Linked DNA regions of Arabidopsis thaliana. The protein of the gene in region 3 purifies or fractionates together with the protein of the main gene of each other region. This does not show direct contact. Each region holds a gene or a part of one and is shown on either strand. Other genes may lie near its edges. The genes, in order: TIF3C2, AT2G46290, EIF3G1 and AT5G44320.

Evidence for each region.
Region 1: the proteins of EIF3G1 (region 3) and TIF3C2 fractionate together in Arabidopsis thaliana (co-fractionation; one large-scale study listed by BioGRID). This does not show direct contact.
Region 2: the proteins of EIF3G1 (region 3) and AT2G46290 fractionate together in Arabidopsis thaliana (co-fractionation; one large-scale study listed by BioGRID). This does not show direct contact.
Region 4: the proteins of EIF3G1 (region 3) and AT5G44320 fractionate together in Arabidopsis thaliana (co-fractionation; one large-scale study listed by BioGRID). This does not show direct contact.

The regions. Positions count from the first base shown.
Region 1 is NC_003074.8:8,090,152-8,094,885, forward strand, and holds TIF3C2 (eukaryotic translation initiation factor 3 subunit C2), read right to left. Parts: upstream 3,098-4,734; coding exon 3,068-3,097; intron 2,974-3,067; coding exon 1,351-2,973; intron 1,268-1,350; coding exon 503-1,267; downstream 1-502. Other genes in the region: AT3G22850 (aluminum induced protein with YGL and LRDR motifs), read left to right, coding at 1-124.
Region 2 is NC_003071.7:19,005,218-19,009,805, reverse strand, and holds AT2G46290 (Transducin/WD40 repeat-like superfamily protein), read left to right. Parts: upstream 1-1,853; 5' UTR 1,854-2,008; coding exon 2,009-2,053; intron 2,054-2,156; coding exon 2,157-2,376; intron 2,377-2,511; coding exon 2,512-2,727; intron 2,728-2,823; coding exon 2,824-2,957; intron 2,958-3,057; coding exon 3,058-3,177; intron 3,178-3,279; coding exon 3,280-3,369; intron 3,370-3,464; coding exon 3,465-3,551; intron 3,552-3,638; coding exon 3,639-3,718; intron 3,719-3,820; coding exon 3,821-3,896; 3' UTR 3,897-4,035; downstream 4,036-4,588. Other genes in the region: AT2G46300 (Late embryogenesis abundant (LEA) hydroxyproline-rich glycoprotein family), read right to left, coding at 559-574, 672-1,414; TRIP-1 (TGF-beta receptor interacting protein 1), read left to right, coding at 4,413-4,588.
Region 3 is NC_003074.8:3,576,553-3,581,074, reverse strand, and holds EIF3G1 (eukaryotic translation initiation factor 3G1), read right to left. Parts: upstream 2,688-4,522; 5' UTR 2,540-2,687; coding exon 2,203-2,539; intron 1,915-2,202; coding exon 1,886-1,914; intron 1,825-1,885; coding exon 1,773-1,824; exon of another isoform or gene 1,766-1,772; intron 1,257-1,765; coding exon 709-1,256; 3' UTR 506-708; downstream 1-505. Other genes in the region: AT3G11405 (uncharacterized protein), read right to left, coding at 1-180; PRA1.A3 (prenylated RAB acceptor 1.A3), read right to left, coding at 3,310-3,413, 3,501-3,572, 3,667-3,755, 3,831-3,917, 4,410-4,488.
Region 4 is NC_003076.8:17,854,015-17,858,748, forward strand, and holds AT5G44320 (Eukaryotic translation initiation factor 3 subunit 7 (eIF-3)), read right to left. Parts: upstream 2,727-4,734; 5' UTR 2,654-2,726; coding exon 887-2,653; 3' UTR 533-886; downstream 1-532. Other genes in the region: ABCI9 (Stabilizer of iron transporter SufD superfamily protein), read left to right, coding at 1-68, 128-212, 289-507; AT5G44330 (Tetratricopeptide repeat (TPR)-like superfamily protein), read left to right, coding at 3,311-3,502, 3,590-3,802, 3,882-4,030, 4,106-4,174, 4,256-4,734.

The DNA.
Region 1 (4,734 bases), 4.5 Mb from region 3:
GCCGGTACCAAGGGTAGACAGTTCGGGTGAGGTTTGCGGTGTAACGTTTAAAGTGGATTCTGAGGCCAAGAAAGAAGCGATGCCTAGGGTTGGGAGTGTTCAGAATTGGTCTAAACAAATCTGAACTAGCTGAAAAAGGCTTGTTTTATTTTTTACTTGTTGGACTCCTGTGGCTGTGTTCCACAGATTTACTCTTTTCCTGATATTCTCACTGTAGCCATTCTAAGGACTAATGGTGCTCTTATTGCTATTGTACCTGTACTTGGTAACAAGGAAGCTAAGAATAAAATATTTTATAAACGTCTAATGATTCCAGTGTATGCATATGATGTCATATTGATAAAACCAGAGCTGCAAGAACATGAGCTCCAACAATAACAATTCATAAACAACCTTTGGTAACAAAACAAAACCTAAAACTGTAATGAAACATAATGACAGGTCTTAGACTCTTAGTAAGAGCCTAAGGTTAACACTGCCTGCAGATTTCTCCACATTCTCTTTACGCAGAAACGCCTCGGGTAAGACTTGAGCCATCCATTTTCAGACCTCTGTTGTCTGATGCTGCTGCTGCATAGTCCTGACTGTTTTCCCTTCTCCTTGAAGTCATATCAAGGCCAACACCACCAGTTTTAGACTCCATTGCACTTTCGTTGCTTTCTGCTAGAGTCGCGAGTTTTTCGGTAATCTGAAAAGCCAAGGATTGTGCTCTGTTATGTTGCACTTCATGGAAGACGATGCATTGAGTTGGCTGGTCCCATGTTGCATTAAGCTCCTTGTTGATCATCATCTTGCTCACAATACTATAGACGTGTGACTCAGAGATGTCAAACATTTTGGCTAGCTCAGCTAGACTTAAGGACTTGTAACAGGAGCTCGAGTATGTGAATAAATAAGTCCTTAGAGCCACTTCACTGATACTAGCTTTCACCATATCGAGTATGCTGTCGCGGTTCTTGAACAGTCTCCAGATATCAAGAGAGTTCAAAACTGAAAACGCTTCTTGGAAGTTTCCTTTGATCAGGGCTCTGGTGGCTGCAATGACATGGACACGTACATTTTCAGGGGGTGCAGTGAACGCTTGCTTCTCACTTTTCTCGAGCAGGCGCTGAATATTCTTGCTAATCGGTTTGTGTTTGGAATCATGCGAGTTTGCTGCCATGTTTGGGACTTCAAGTAGCATGGCACAAGTAAGATAAACAGCCTCCAAGAGCTCGAGGTTTATGTTCATATGGTACGGTATTTGTGTTCTCCTCTCCATAAGCATCTATAGTTAAAACAAAAAACAGAGAAATTAGACTCTACTAAAATGAAAAAGAACATAATATGTTCTATAAGGTCAATATTTACCTGCTCTGTTGTCTTCTCGTGGTCTCGACTTTGCGAGACACCTTGACCAAGCAACTCCCTAACTCTATTCCCAGAGTACAGCTCAGAGAGACAGCTATGTGACTCAGTTATCATTCCAACCCGAAAAGCGCAAAGACCAAGTTGTGCCATTGTCCTGTTAAAGAGAATCTGTGTAGAGATGTCCATGTGTTGAATGTTTTCTTGTAGATGACTCATCAGCAACAAGTCTCTAGCAGTAACAAAATTGTCCATTAAAGCATGTTGATAGATATCACATAGCATTGCTCTGGCTTTGGTCCTCTCATCTCCATTTTTGTAGATAAAGGATACAAGTGTATCCATCATAGCTCTGCTGCTCTTTGCGAAGGTAGGCTTACGAGGAACAATCTCCGCAACAACAATGAATGAAGAAGAAGAAGATCCACTTTCCTCGTTAGCCTCCTCAATTTCCTCATCAGCCAATTTACTCATAGCATCAAAAACTTCTTGAGGCTTGTAATAGATTGACTCGACTAGTATAAAGGCTACCTTTGAAGCAGCTTTAGAATCGCCTGTCCGCTCCAAGTAGTCTTGGATACTCTGAGCAAGAGCCAAGAACATAGGCTCATCTTTCAACCTCTCAACATAATCATTGGTGTGAGGATCAATGCACTGCAAACTCTTGAAAAACTCTGTCTCAATCTTCTCTAAGAATGCAACCAAATTTCCCGAGACCCGAATGGTTCCATCGTATGCCGCTGGCTTTGAAGTTTCCTTCTCATCAGGTTCAACGGTATCATCCACAACAATGTTATAGTACTTGACAAGAATGTCAAGTATGGTAAGCATGTTAACCACACATTTCTTCCAGACATCGATAGGCATGTATCCGCTGAGACCACCAGAATTCACATTAAACTCTGCTGAAATAACACTAAACAAGATTTCAACCTTCTGTGCAGGAGTCTTGGCGATCTTTGTCAAGTCCATATGCTTCTGCGCATGAGTCTCGCCGGGTTTGAGTTTAAGGCTAGAACTTCTTCTTTTGCTCCAACGAGCAGCCCTAATTTCTTTGAACTTCTTGTTGACCATGTTCCAAGTTATCTCTTCATGATCTAAACTAAACAACATCTCCCAAGAAACATTATCAGCAGAATCCTCCACCACCTCCTCTTCATACTCATCATCGTCTTCGATTTCTGGAGACTCCCTAAATCTTTTGATATCTTCTTGGTACTGCAGATTGTTCTTCTTCAGTTTCTGTCTCATTGCGTTCAAAGCCTTGGAGTTACTAGTACTCATCTTCTCCTTTGTTTTCATATTATCTTCATTCAAGAAATCTTCCAACATCACAAGGGTCTTGATATACAAAGTCGGAGTCTTTACGGACTTACTAATCTGTTTGTTGAGTTTCTCAAACGTTTCTTGCAAGTAAACACAATCATTGATGTTCATGGCATGCTTCATATTCTCTATAGTGTTGGCCATCTCCTCAAAACGTTTATCTTTTTTTGGCTTAACCACACGTTTAGTATCCATACCACAACAAATCTCACCGTCAGGTAAGTCTGCAAGGTAACGAGTGTTGTTACCCTCAACCTCTTCTTTTTCAAAGTCACTCTCATCTTCACTTTCACTTCCACTCTGTAAACGAAACATAAGCAAAGAAAAAGCATTAAGAAACTGTTACAAAAAAATATAGGTTTTGATAAGTAAACAAAGGTCTATGGAAAGAAACCTGAGCGAAAAAACGAGAAGTCGTCGTCATCTTCGTTAGCAAGGAGAAGAACCTGATACATCAAAATATAAAACTTTGAGACGATGGAGATATAATTGCAGGGGGGACACAAAACATAGATGAAGAACAAAAAACTCGAACCTAAAATTTGTTCAAGGAAAGATGAAGAAGAATGAAATTACCTTTGATTGATTTGAGACGATGGAGAGATTGATGTGAGACGATGGAGATGCTTGACTAGAGAATAACGAATCGTTAAGAAGAGAGGCGAATTAGGGTTTACTATAAGAGAATATTACGTGATTAGACACTTTTTTGAAAGTTTATCCGTAATTAGGCACTTAAAAATCATTAGGCACTTTGAATAATTAAAATTACTTGTTCACCCTCGTATCGTCGGTTTTCTATAACCAAACAAATCAAATCTATTTTCACTAAACCAATTCAGATTTATGGAGTCCACGATTTTGTAGTTGCCTTTGTGATTTAAATTTTTTTTCCAGAATCGTAAAAATCCAAATCCAATAAAAAATCCTAAATTACAATTTCTCGAAAAGGGGACTCCGGCGACGGGATATCCATCTCCTCCGTCACTGTCCACCACCACTGCTTTTCACACTACACTCTCGTTTGCTCTTTCAACCGTAAAACACCAAACCCAATTCTCTTGTCATTTCCTCTAAATCTCTGCAATTTCTTAAATCGATTTGGATTTACTTTGCCTGAAAATCTCTTAACTCGTACTGTCCAAACTCAATTTCAATTTCAATTGAGGTTACTTCGAGAAAAGTTCAAGAATTTCGGAACAACTAAGGTAAAGTTTTGTCATGTTGACTTCGGAGATCTTGTTCGTAATTCTGTGATAATGTTTGATAACTTCTCTGCCCAGTTTGTTTGAAATTCAGTACTTGAGGTTCTCTATTGGACAGAAGATGAACATATGGACTACAACACTTGGACAATCCGTAATGGACAACCACACATTTTGTTTGCAGCGTATGTGTCGTTACAAAATTGAAAATCATTGTCCACGACCATACATGACTGCACAGCTTGGTGTTTGATAATTCAAGGAAAAAGCCATATAAAGGTTCTATTTCTTAATCTTACATTTTGGAAGAAATCAAATCATTGATTTAAGAAATAATATGTAAGCTTGGATGCTAGAGCTTTAGGTGATCCTATGGCCAGATTAGGATATTGATTTAACTTTGTTCTTACTGCTACTCAACATTGATTGTCTGGTATTAAGTTGTAAAAGAGTAATTTGACTTATCCATTTGTGTTGATATAATTGGTCATTATAATGTGATTAGTCAATAGAAAACCTTAGAGTACATAATATCAAACTTTTAACTTTGTTAATTTCTTTAGGCGAGTGGGTGAATACATCAGTTAGACTTGCTTTTGCACATCATGTGATCATCGTTATTGATGTCATCCAAAGAAATTTGTCCATTCATACGCAAACATGAAGGTACTGTTGTTTGGACACTCCTTACTTTAAAACCCCACCTTAGTTTGCAAGTCATTACTTGACTAATTTACTTTAAAAACAAAATTTAGGTTAGGAACATTGTGTCAGATCCTATTTTCGATACAAGTGGGAACATCCAAGTCAACAAACCTACAATGGGGTACCAAATTTTATTAATCGTCTACTCCTT
Region 2 (4,588 bases), on a different chromosome or scaffold from region 3:
TGATATAATGGAATTTTGTTATTTTTGGACTTCTTATCCTAATTCTGAAAAACAAGCCATTTTTTTCGAATTCCACATTTCCACTTGACATTTTACCAATTTAGGCCCCCAAAAATGGCACACCATTTCGATATCTATATTTTTGTTTACGAAACATTTCAGCCCATATACTTTACGGGCCCATTAGTGTCTAAAGATTCATACGCCACCTGAACAATATTTTCCCACCACCATTACACAAACATGTCGAAAATATTCTTAACATAAAAATCACCACATTACATTATGTTTACTGCCCAAATAATAACCCACATAAAATATTACACACAAAATAATCTATCTCACACAAAATAATAATAAAACAAACACTCGCTAAATATGCCCCCCTCAGTGAATTTGATCAAATACCCCAAAAATAAAATTAATAACATGTGTGGAGTATAAAACACGAAAAAATAAAATTACAAAAGAAAGAAGATAACATATCTACAGTAAAGTTACAAGTATACAGATGTTAGATCATCGTGTTTTTCCAAATCCTCGAATCCTTCCGTCTTGTTACTGTATAGTTACCCTGCAACGTAATAATTAATAATCTCATATAAAAGTTTAGAAATTTTGGATGTAATTAACATCAAAAACCAAAATCCTAATTACTGATAATTTTGTACCATTTGAGTGTATTGAGAATGCATTTAGGTGAATCAGTATCAAGCTTGTTCAAGCTAACGCCACCGCATCTCAAATTAACGGCGAGCATTCCGATCTTAATACCGCCGACACCTAATCCAACTTTAGTCTTGGCAACAACGTTAATGACCAAATCTTTGCTCTGAAATTTCGCAGCGAGTCTCTTAGCCAATCCTCTCTCCACGAGCTGATTCTTCACCGTCGTCTCCACTTTCACGCTCGTCGAGTTTTTGGGACCTTGTCGGAATCCATTCATCGTCGTCTCTCCCATCCCGGTCTCATCGTTTCCCGAACCAACGCTCAAATCAACGGCAGTGTTTCCGTAGTAAAAAACGAGTTTCGAGTTCGGATTCTTCATCTCAACGCGGGCAACGGCGGTGGCGGAGAGAGACGCGCCGTCGGGATCGTCGGCGAGTTTGAAGCCGTCGAGACGGAAGGAAGCGAGGCTGAAAGTGGGAAGCTTAGGATCGAACCAGAGGTAGAAAACAGCTGTTCCGACCAAGAGGAGGAAGATGAAGAGAACAAGAGTAATGCAGATGCAACAGCAACAGAAACGACAACAGCTTCTACGTTTTTTCTTTGGTCGGTAAGAAGTAGGCATAGGGACGGCTTTTCTCATAGGTTGTTGTTGAATGGGAGGTGGAGGAGGAGGAGGAGAGGACATGTTTGGATCTCTGTAACCTGGTGGCTTTTGAAGAACCGGGTTCATCTGATAATCTGCCATCTTTTTTCTCTTAATTATTCACCTCTCTGACGATCTCCTGATAAATCGTATCAAGGAAGATCAAAACGAAATCTTCAAAATGGAGAGAGAGATGCTATGATGATGATGATTGCAGGCAAACTTGGTTTCTAAGAGATTTTGAGTTTTTGGAAGAGAGAGAGAGAGAAGAGAATGTTTTTTTGTGTTGCGTTGTCTCTTCTCTCTCGTTAATGGAAGAAGGCTGAGACGTGAGGAAGGGATTTCGTTTTAGGCCCGAGACTCACGCGCGCCGTTTTTGTTGCTGACGTGTTCCCTCTTTTTTCTCTTCTTCCTACATTCATTGAAATATTCAAATTTCAGTTATTAGATTAGTCGATTAATTTATAACTGATAATCATATTGAGTTTGATACATCCAAAGTGGCATGGGCCTACAGATTAGATGTTTAGGCCAGGTGGACTCTGTTTCGAGCCCATTACTGCCACGTGGCTCTATTCGGAGTTATTTACCAATGGTACGCTCACCGGTTTAACGATTCACCACTTAAAGCCCTCAAAATCTCAGAGAACGCTCGCTGATCAAATCCGTCGTCCTTCAACCGTCGCCTCCTCCGTCATGACAATTGAGTGCGTTAATCCCGAAGGTCTTCGATTCAACCAAGTATGTGCACATATCTCTTCCTCCGTTTGGTCATGTACTTGTTTCCGATTAATGTATTATCTTTTGTTCTTTCTATTGAATTGATTTCGTATCTGTTTGCAAGATGAAAAGCTCCTCTCATCAAACCCTAGAAACGAGGATGAGGCCGATTTTGATGAAGGGACATGAACGTCCATTGACGTTCCTGAGGTACAACAGAAATGGTGATCTGCTTTTCTCCTGCGCCAAAGACCACACTCCCACAGTCTGGTTTGCCGATAACGGCGAGCGTCTTGGCACTTACCGTGGCCACAGTGGTGCTGTTTGGTGCTGTGATATCTCCAGTAAGTGGTCTCAGCCTCTCAAATTCAAATAGTATATAGTGGATGGAATGGATTCAGTTTAGGATTTAAGTCGTTGTCTTTGTTGTTTTAGTCTTTCATAGCTTAACGATTAGTGTTTTGTTTGTGATTTCTTAGGAGACTCGTCTAGATTGATCACTGGTAGTGCTGATCAGACTGCAAAGCTGTGGGATGTGAAATCTGGCAAAGAATTGTTCACTTTCAAGTTTGGTGCCCCTGCAAGGTCTGTGGATTTCTCTGTTGGTGATCATCTTGCAGTGATTACCACTGATCACTTCGTGGGAACTTCCTCTGCTATTCATGTCAAACGCATTGCAGAAGATCCCGAAGACCGTAAGTTGTCAATTCTAAGTTAAAATCTACTTATGTTTTTTAGCCTATGTCTTTTTTGTATGGGTAAAAGGAATTGATTTAATGTAATTGATGTAGAGGTTGGTGATTCTGTGCTTGTCCTTCAAAGTCCTGATGGAAAGAAGAAGATCAATAGAGCTGTTTGGGGTCCCCTGAACCAAACCATTGTTAGTGGTGGTGAAGATGCTGCTATCAGAATCTGGGATGCAGAGGTATTTCAACTTTCTTAAGGCCTTTCTTTTGTCTATCAATATCTCTCTTTTTTTTTTTATTAGCTTAAACCTTATGTGGTGCTACTGCCATTGTTACTAGACTGGAAAATTGCTTAAGCAATCAGATGAGGAAGTGGGTCACAAGGAGGCCATTACATCCCTCTGCAAAGCAGCTGATGACTCTCACTTCCTTACAGGTTCACATGACAAAACTGCAAAGGCATGTGCTTCTTTCTTTTACTTGTTTCAAAAATATGCTCTATACATATTACATATAGAGATAAATCATCTAATAGAGTGTTCTTTTTGTTGATTCTTTCAGCTTTGGGACATGAGAACGCTGACTCTTATTAAGACTTACACCACTGTGGTGCCTGTAAATGCTGTCGCCATGTCTCCACTTCTCAACCATGTATGCACTAATGCTTCTTGAAATTCAAATTCGGTTCCCAAAAGCAACAAGTCTTGATGTTATCTTTGTGAATGTTTCTGCTCTCGCTCTTTTAGGTTGTGCTTGGAGGTGGTCAAGATGCATCAGCTGTGACTACCACTGATCATCGTGCTGGGAAGTTTGAAGCTAAGTTTTACGACACGGTTAGTGTTGCAGTAAAACAGTTTTATTTAAAAACTTGTAACCTGGAAAGAGATATGTAACTGTGTATTTGGTCTTATAATATATAGATTCTGCAAGAGGAAATTGGTGGCGTGAAAGGTCATTTTGGACCTATTAATGCTTTGGCATTCAGTCCTGATGGGAAGAGGTAAACTAACAAAATTTGATTTTGATTGATTGATACAATCCTCAGTTGATGAGAGTGTTTTTTAGGCTTTGTTGCTGAGTGTTTTTTGGAATGTATTTTCAGTTTCTCTAGTGGAGGTGAAGACGGCTACGTGAGACTGCATCATTTTGACTCCAATTACTTCAACATCAAGATTTAGATTCTTTGAACATGTCTTTCCATTTTTTCATCATTCCACATAATATTTTCTCTCTTTTTAACATTTTCAGAATTGATGTACTACCAAATTACCAATATACTACTTTGATGATAAAGCTTGTTGTTTGTCTTTTCAAATAGACATATGCACCCACAAAAAAAAAACGTATGAAACTGCTTTTGAGAAAGGAAAAAAACAAAATAGGCGCAACGGGCGAGGTTCGAACTCATCAAATAGGGAAGAAGCTAAAAACGCTGAAGCCACTGAGCTTTGCTAAACTGTGGCATCTCGAGTAATTTAAAAAATTACAAAAGGGTAAAAGTGTCAAAAGAGAGGACAAAGTTGATTTCCTAGGGTTTTTGCACTTCTTCCTCGTCGTCTCTCTCGTCTTCAAGTGAACAGGTGAAGAAGAAAGCCGTTTTCCGTAATCGTTTCTTCAATTATTTTTCTTGTCTTTTGATTGATTCGATTTCGTATCTGTTTCAAAGATTCGCATCAAACCCTAAGAAACTGAAGATGAGGCCGATCCTGATGAAGGGACATGAACGTCCATTGACGTTTCTGAGGTACAACAGAGAAGGAGATCTGCTTTTCTCCTGCGCCAAGGACCACACACCCACCCTCTGGTTTGCCGATAACGGCGAGCGCCTTGGAACTTACCGTGGTCACAACGGTGCTGTTTGGTGCTGTGA
Region 3 (4,522 bases):
AGGCATTTGAAACGAAGACGGTGACGAAGAACCAAACAAGCTGGCGAATTGGTCGCTTTCATTGTCCGATGATGAATTAGATGTTTTTTTGCCGACGACATCTATATTTTCGACATAGTCATTGTTGAAGTTTTGTAGTTCGTCACGGAAGATAATACTGAGTTTTGAAACCTTTTCCATTGTTTCAATGAAATTCTAAAATTTGACCTTCTACTAAGAAGAAATTACTTAAGCTGATATATATGCAGTTAAAAATAAATGGAAATTTTACTTTTTCGACTAAATTTAACAAAGGAAATTTTCTTATTTTTACATAATGATACGAAAATGTTATAATTACAATTAAAAGAATATACGTACTAACATTTGTTAATTAGTTATATTCTTCATTAATAAAGATTATTATTTTGATTGATATCTTAGAACGAAAAAGTAAAAGTCAAACAATATTTTTGTGAAACGGGGAATGTTAAACAAACATCACAAATAATTTTAGACATCAATGAAAAAAGTGTTGGAAAACTCTTACGTATCACACAAATCCATTTTTTAAAAAGCATGCCTTATGTATTAAAGAGAAATTGAACAAATTCTCATCTATTCATACAGAAACCAAACCAACAAACAAACTGGTCGATAAACAAAAATCCATAACAAGAAAGACGAGAATGAGAAGAGTTTTAAGGTCTCAACATCAGACATTTCTTTCTAGGTTGGTCTTGGAGTTGCCCATTCAACCCTGAGGATGAGGTTATCATAACCATAACCATTCAATTTGTTGATTGCTCTTTGAGCGTCTTCTCTGCTCACGAAATTGACGAAACCAAATCCTCTGCTCACTCCAGTTTTCTGATCAATGGCCACATAGACACGTGTGACAGCTCCAAACGGGTGGAACAGCTCCATCAAGTCAGGTTCACGGGTATCCTCGGACAGATTGGTTACACGCACAGAGTTCTCATCGTTCCTCCTCCTCATGTCTGAACCCACAGCGCTTCTGTCTGCACCTGCTCTCATGCTAGGCGGGACATACGCGGCCTTGCCAGTTCCAGGTGCAGCAGACATGGTAGATGATTCCCCTGTGGGTGGCTTGTCAATGAAGACATCGGTTGGTGCAGCTAGATCCTTGTATGGACATTTTGATGTCCAGTGATCTCCTTTCTTGTGGCATATCCTGCACACCATGAGAACTGCACCACCTTTACCCAGCTGAGACAAGCCATCTCCTGTTGCCTTTGATTCATCCGCTTTGGTACCTGAAGTATCACACACCGTTAAGATACACACAATTACACAAAGAATGAAAGATAGTTGTGAACCAATGGCCAACTCATAGTCAACTTTAAAATGATACAGTAATGCATAGCCACAGAATCAAACATAGCAACCTATGTCTGCACTATAAGCCACTGATTAACATCATCTTTGATGGCTATCTATACAACTAGTCATTCACCTATCAATAGATTGATCACGAAAGCCCTAGTAACATTATCAAGGAACTTAAACTTTGCCCGTTTACAAACCATTTGACATTGGTTCATTGAAACACAAGATCATGGTGACTCCTACATCAATCTAATTTTTTCATCAAGGTAATAACACAAAAGGAGACAACATGTCACAGGACAAAATTTTTAACAATCGAAACTAAAGCTTCCAAACATCAAATGGGAGACAACATGTCACAGGAGAAAAGCTTTAACAATCGAAACTAAAGCTTCCTAACATCAAGTAGGAGACCAATGAAAAGCTGCAACATCTATGTGTACAGTTAGCAGCCACAAAAGTGAGAGCACATTTCAGCTCGTACTCAGGAATGGACTACAAACAATAAACTGCTATCGGTGACATACTGACCAATCACACAAACAAGTAGCCTCACGGCTAACATGTGATTCGCTAATTGGTCACCTTAACCCAATAGTATTAGACTAAACAATAAAACTAATGAATCAAACAATGAATTGGACAGCAATCCCAAGTTAGAACATATCACAAACAACATCTTTCTAGGTGAGTCTAGAAACTTATTCACACAATTAGCACAGCCATAAGACTGAACATTTTACCAACTCAATTAGATCAAAGTGCACAAATTTATAATTTTAACTCCAAATTCAATACGAACCAATAACCCCACGAATCTCAACAAACAAAAATCACCAGAATCATCATCATCATCAGAGGGAGAGAATTTACCAGGAGCTCGGGGTCGTTCGAGAAGGATCTCTTCGGTAGAAACCATAGTGAGATGGCTACCAGCTTCCTCATTGGCTGCGTCTCCGAACTTAGGCCAGTTCCTCCTCTCCATGGCTCGTTTGTTGAGTCGAGCAGAAGCTAGCTTGCGGACACGTGTCCTAGTCGTTATCTTAACCTTATTTTCTTCATCGTTGAATTTGTACTCGATCGTCGTCTTCAAACCATTCTCATCTGGACCAATCACCTGCTTGGGAGGGAGCAAGAAATCCAGATCTTCGTCTTCGTCCATTTCCCCCCATCTGAATTTGCTCGTTTTTTGCTGCGAATCGATCGTCATCGTCACTCGTTTGGGATTCAGATGCGCCGCTTTTGCTTCGATCGTAACCTAAAACTGAAGAAGAAGACGAAGAAGAAGAAGCACTTTTAGGGTTTCCTATCTTATCTGTGTGTGCTCCGTAACCGGAACGCACCGTTTTGATTCCTTCAGAATTTTACTTGGTCCAGTAGCAATTTTAATGTGAAGAAATTCAATTTTTAAAATTCTAATATCTACAAAAAGCTGTGTCCAGGCCCGCTCCACTAAGCCTCTTACCCTCTTCTAGGAATTAATTTAGACTCTCTTATGTTTTTTGGGCTTTTCGTTATAACACTTATTTACAGGATTGATTCTTCTTTTAAAAGAACTACTGATTCCACAAGCGAAGCCCACATGTTTTGGCGTTTTGTCTACCAAAATTTTAAAACACAATTGATAAAGCACTGTACTGTTCTATCTCAAATCCAAAAACTATACGTAGAAAAAGCCAATGAAAGATTTTGTAAAACTGAATCACTTACACACTTTATAGACTGAAAGAGTATACAAAGAACCTTAAGAAAACAACACTATATTCTGCCTTGTAGTTCTAGTCAACTAACTAGAACAAAGAGCCGCATCTGTAACCAGACCAGTGGCCTTATAATTTACTAGCTTACTACTGGAAGACAAGAATAACTGCGATTGTTTGTGCACATGATGAAGGAATTGGAGTTCATGTCTTTCCTCGAAACCCCTGTGATGTCCCGGGTTGGTTTGCAATAAGATCGAATCAATGCTTTATGTTGACTTTAAAGTTCGCTGTAGTTACGCCAGACAGCCCTGAATTCTTCACGGAATGTGTTCAAGCGGGCCTTGAGGTTTGGAGTTCTCAGGCTTGCATGAAGAAGTATCACTAAGGGAGAGAGAAAAATTACAAGTCAAAAGGATGGAAACTGGACCCAAAAAAACAGAGAAAGAGATGAAAGCAAGGATAGCTTACTGAGAAGGGCAGTGGTAAGTGCATAGAGGACCCATAACAAACCACATGAAGTAAACCACAGGACAAAACTGGCTACATAAGGAAAATCATATATTTTGCATCAGTTCACAGAGAAGTTGCATACCAATAGGTGAGAGAGATTATATGATAAAGAGATAATAAGTACCGGTTAAGCCAAGTAAGACGAATACCAAACGTGGTTGGCCACAAATGTAGACTGTCTTTCTAGTTGCAGATCGCCCACGAATGACAGGCCTGCAAGGTGTTCACTCAAGTAGTAAATAACAAAAACCATCTGTAACTCTTCCATGGGAATAAAAAATTACTCACATGTGGGGAGGCCTCATCTTTGCAGCTAAATGTGGCGAGAAATGCCTAATGGTCCGGATCATCTTCTCATTAAAAGTAGCTGCAAAACTGCAAAAGACAAGAAAAACCTTAGCGCCATCAAATCAATGAGTAAAGTAAAAACCAACCATGCAAATCACTGAAAATAGAGAAACTTAAAACACTCAAGTTTTAAGAAACAACACCATTACATATTGAATTTCATACTAAGCACAGACACATCAAGGGTTTTACACTGACAATACTCATGATAGAGGAACCTTAAATCCCTCATGTTTACAGAATTAACGCCATAAACTATTGAATTTAGTACTACGCACAGACATTTTAAGGGCTAATCATTGAAAATAGAGAACTTTGCAACACTCGAGTTTTATATACCATCAAGAGAACCTTATTGAATCTAAACGCTAAGCACAGACACTTTAAGGAATCACTGAATATAGATAGAGAACCTCCTCCTAAACATTCTATAGATGCGAACCAACAACAACCGGAATAACAAATGCATCTTTAAGTAACGATAGACAGTAGAAACTAACGCGAAATCACAAGAAATACCTGTCGTTTAGGAAAGCTAAGCTTAAAGCTGTAAGAGCAGCACCAAGAATTGCCAGAGGTCGAGTGATAAGTGCAAGACCTGAGTCCACCACAACGGAGGAAAAAGAGTTAGA
Region 4 (4,734 bases), on a different chromosome or scaffold from region 3:
GAGAAAGGGTTCGCGATAACTTGGAAGTATCCAAGCGTGGTTTTAGAAGGAGATGATTCCGTTGGAGAGTTTTAATCCGTATCATTGACTAATAACTACCAGCAAGCTGATACATGGACCAATCCAGAGCTGAGAACGCTAGAAATACTTCGACTTGTGACTCGATGCTTATTGGTGACAATGCAGCCGCTAATACATATCCTTACATACAGGTACTTTGTATATGATCATCTAACCTTTTATTATAAGGTTATGATAAAAGCACCTCTAATGAAGATCTTATAACAGGTAAAGAATCCATCGGCGAGAATAGAGCATGAAGCAAGTACTTCAAAGATTGGAGAAGATCAGATTTTCTATTTTCAACAGAGAGGTATCGATCATGAGAGAGCATTAGCGGCAATGATCTCTGGATTTTGCAGAGATGTTTTCAACAAGTTGCCTAATGAATTTGGAGCCGAAGTTAACCAGCTTTTGAGCATTAAGCTTGAAGGATCAGTGGGTTAAACAAATCTCACAATTACTTAACATTAAAGAAAGCTTTACTTGTGCCCAACAAACTGCTAACAATTTTAGGCTTTCAATAATTAATTTTGGCTTGAGAAAACTGATATATAAACACTTGAGAAAAAGCATATTCTCGATCAGAAAAGAGTCTCACGAATAATCAAAGATGCTACTGTTCTCTAATGCCGGAATATCAATGACCAAGCACCTACCACAGTGATGACCTTTTAAGTTCAAAGAGTTAATTCAAAAACAACCAAGAAAGCATGAACCAACATTTTGGAACATAAATAGTCTATGAAAAAGTGAACAAGCTTTCGAACATTTTTTAAAAGTAACTCAAAACAACACGACTTGAAATATACCCATATCATCAAAATCAGGCTTCAACTTCGGATTTCTTATCCTCTACAGCTACATTAGTAGAGGAAACCCCATTAGTCTCTGCTCCTGCATCAGTGTTCTCCTCAGGTGGCTGAACCTGTTCATCTTCAGGGAGTGGCTCCTCCACATAATCATTGTCAAATGCATCAGCCGGAACTTCGTAAATCCTAACTTGAGGCTTCGATGGATCCTTCACTAGAACATACTTTCCTTCACTTAACTTCATACACAGATCAACAATCGACTTCACAATTCCCCACATATTGTTAGTGTTCAGATTGATCTGCCCAGCGAAATCTTTCGGCTTATACCCCAAAACCGATAATATAACATGGTTAAAATGATCACGAGGATGAACCCTCGAAACAAACCCAATCTTCATCATATCCGCATTAGCCAAGAGAGCCTGCGCAGTCCATTTAGCTAACTTATTACCATTGTTCTTCAACTCATTAGCTAAAACCGCACCTCTCTGAGTCTCAAGCTTCTGTCTCCAATCAACACCAGAGTACTTAGGATCAAACTCGTTAAGAGCATTCAAAGTTAAAAACGATCTCTGGTTATTCAAATCAACAGTGCTCTGTAACTCACACCTAGCAACTAGATACATACTATCATCAAGCTTCCATCTCCTATACCTATAAGCAATAGAAGCATTCTCTTCACCTTCATTAACATTAGGAATTGGCTCATCAAAAGTTTCCCTTTTCCCATTCTTAACCAAAACCTGCTGAGCAAAATTCTGATTAATATAAGCAGCCTCCAGACCTAGAGAATGAGCAGAGTTAATATCATCTTTACCCTCAGGCAAAGGCTCTTGAGAAGTCTCATGAACAGATAACAAATCAAGCGGTGACCCATCTCTCTTATCAAAGAAAAGCTTATTCCCAACACGTTGAATCACAAGATCCCATGAATAAACCGATCTAGGAGCACACATAAGAGCAGCTAGAATAGCATCAGTAGCAAAAACAGTAGCTTTATCTTCTTTAGCAAGACGTCTGATCACAAGATCATCACTTGTAGTAACCTTAAAGCTTCTGTTCTTGAAACGCTCAAGTCTACGATCAGCTTTAGGAGTAATACGATCAAAACTCCGATCATAAGACTCAAGTCCACCACAAAGAAGAAGATCTTCAGGTTCAGAAACTGTAAACGAAAGCTTAGAGAAAGTCGAAAACGGAATCTGCTCAAGCATATTCCATTCCGGTTGAATATCAACTGATGATTTAAACGCGGCGGCTTCACGGCGTTGCTGATGAATATTGTTACGATTGTTATTGTAGAGACGATCACGACGAGCTCGATCTTTCTCAGCTTCACGTTTCTTAGCTTCAACTTCTTCATCACGACGTTGAGGAAGCTGATTTCGGTTATGGTATTGATTGAATCTCCATTTAGGTCCGAATTTAGGACGCGGCGGTGGTTTTCCGTCGACTAATCGGAAAGCGGCGTCTTCGTCGGCGTTTCCACCTGAGTTTGTTAGACCAAATCCTTCATCTACTGCAAAAGCTGAGAAATCGAAGATCGCTGATGGATCTGATTTGGATCCGGTGTGAGGACGAGCTGATGGATTTGAGAGAGCTCGAGTCCAATCAGCAACGCGTCCGAGTTTTTCGGATCGTGAGAAGGAAGCGAAGGGGACGTTTGGGAGGAGATTCGCCGCCGCGACGCTGGTGGAGGAAGTGTCGGAAGCATCTGGTGGTCCCCAACCATCGGAATTGAATGGGACTGTGCCGACTTCGAATGCTTCAAACACCATTGTTGAGATTTGCGAAGAAGATGTGCGCAAGTGAAAAATTTGTATTTTATTTTGTCAACAATGAAAACCCTAGCCCTTAATGGGCCTCAATGGGCTTTTCTCTTGTCATAAGAAACTCTAGCCCTTTTAAGCCCATTATTATCTCACTCAGTCAAAAGGACGTCGGTTTAAGCTAACCAATGCTTTTGGTTTGGGCTATATTCTCTCAATCGAAATTTTGGGTTATATTCAACCGTACATTTATTAAGGAATTAAGAAACCGGCTTAGAACCGGTTCATGATCTGTTAACCAATAACTGAACGTTGCACTTCAATTCAAAAGTTTACGAATTTGTACTCGTCGCAAAACTTATTTTATTTAGATCCTTGTTTTTATATCCATGTCTCACTTCTTTCCCCTAAGTTTTTCATTGGTTACTTAAGGTCCAACTATATAAAGACTTTTTTACTCTCTTCTCTTCTTCAGAGAAAATTCAAAAAGAATCTCCAATTTTCTCGGGAAAATTTCTCCATTAGTCTCTTCTCTTTTCCGGCTTGGAATCGCTTTGCTTCTTAATCTTTAACAAACACGTTCCATAGAACCCCAAAAATTTGATCATCGGAAACATTTTCTCGGGGAAGTAAAGAAGATTTTCCCGAGAAAAGAAGATTCTCACTATGCGGCGTCGTGAGAGCCGTGGTGCTAAGGGAGGAGGTTTCTTGACTCCACCACCGTCATGGCACACGACGAGAAGAGTTTACATTGCGATGCCGATTTCGGAGAGGAAAAGATCACCTTTGATCGAGAATCAAGAATCGTTTAGGGTTCGTACTGGTGATTCTCCTTACGTCAGAGCCAAACATGCTCAGGTAATATCAATATAGGGTTTTTAGTGAATTGTATTGGTTTATGTGTATGAACGTTTGTTCTTGACATGGAATTGTTTTCAATAACAGTTGGTTTCTAAAGACCCGAATCGAGCTATCTCGTTGTTTTGGGCGGCGATTAATGCTGGAGATAGAGTTGATAGTGCATTGAAGGACATGGTAGTTGTTTTAAAACAGTTGAACCGATTCGATGAAGGAATCGAAGCTATCAAGTCTTTTCGATATCTCTGCCCTTTTGAATCTCAAGATTCTATTGATAACTTGTTACTTGAACTCTACATGGTAAAACTTTCTCAGTATGACTAATTGTGAAGCTATTTCTATGCTCAGTATGTGATTTTGATGGATTTTGGTTTTGCAGAAGTCTGGGAGGATTACAGAGGTCGCTGAGCTGCTTGAACACAAACTGAGAACACTTGAACAAGACAAACATTATGGTGGCAGGATCAAAATAGCGAAAAGAAGCCATGAGGAGCAGAATAACAAGACAATCGAGCAAGAGAAAGCACGGCAAGACAATCTCCCATCTCCGCTTTATACCTGAAAGAGTAGTTTCTCTGACTTTCTTGGTGTTTGGATATGTAGGATTCTAGGGAACTTAGCTTGGGTTCACTTACAGCTTCATAACTATGGAATTGCAGAGCAGTATTACAGGTTTGTGAAACACCATCAATCCCATTAAGAATGTTAGTTTTATCATTGCCTTAACAAGTGAAATGGGTTTTACTGTGATAGGAATGCTTTGTCTTTGGAACCTGACAATAACAAGTTGTGCAATCTTGCAATCTGTTTGATACGTATGGAAAGAACCCATGAAGCTAAATCTCTGCTTGAGGATGTAAAACAGTCTCTAGGGAATCAATGGAAGAATGAACCGTTTTGCAAGTCTTTTGAACGGGCTACTGAGATGTTAGCAGAAAGAGAACAAGCAACAGTAGCGGATAAACCAGAAGATTTGCTGACAAGTAGCTTTTCAGATAACTTCTCTTCGAGATGTTCAGGTGGGATGAAAGGAAAGAAGGCTCTAGCTGGAACTAGCACTGAACTGGGTAATATTCACAAGACAAACTCGCATGCTTCCTCTGAATCGGTTGAACAAAACTCACCAGGTCTGACTACACAACCCCGGGAATGTAAATGGGTAGATGAGGAAGTAGATCAGAGTAAATGGGATGCGACAATTGGTGCTTCTCGAAAGCTCAGGTTCTGGACAG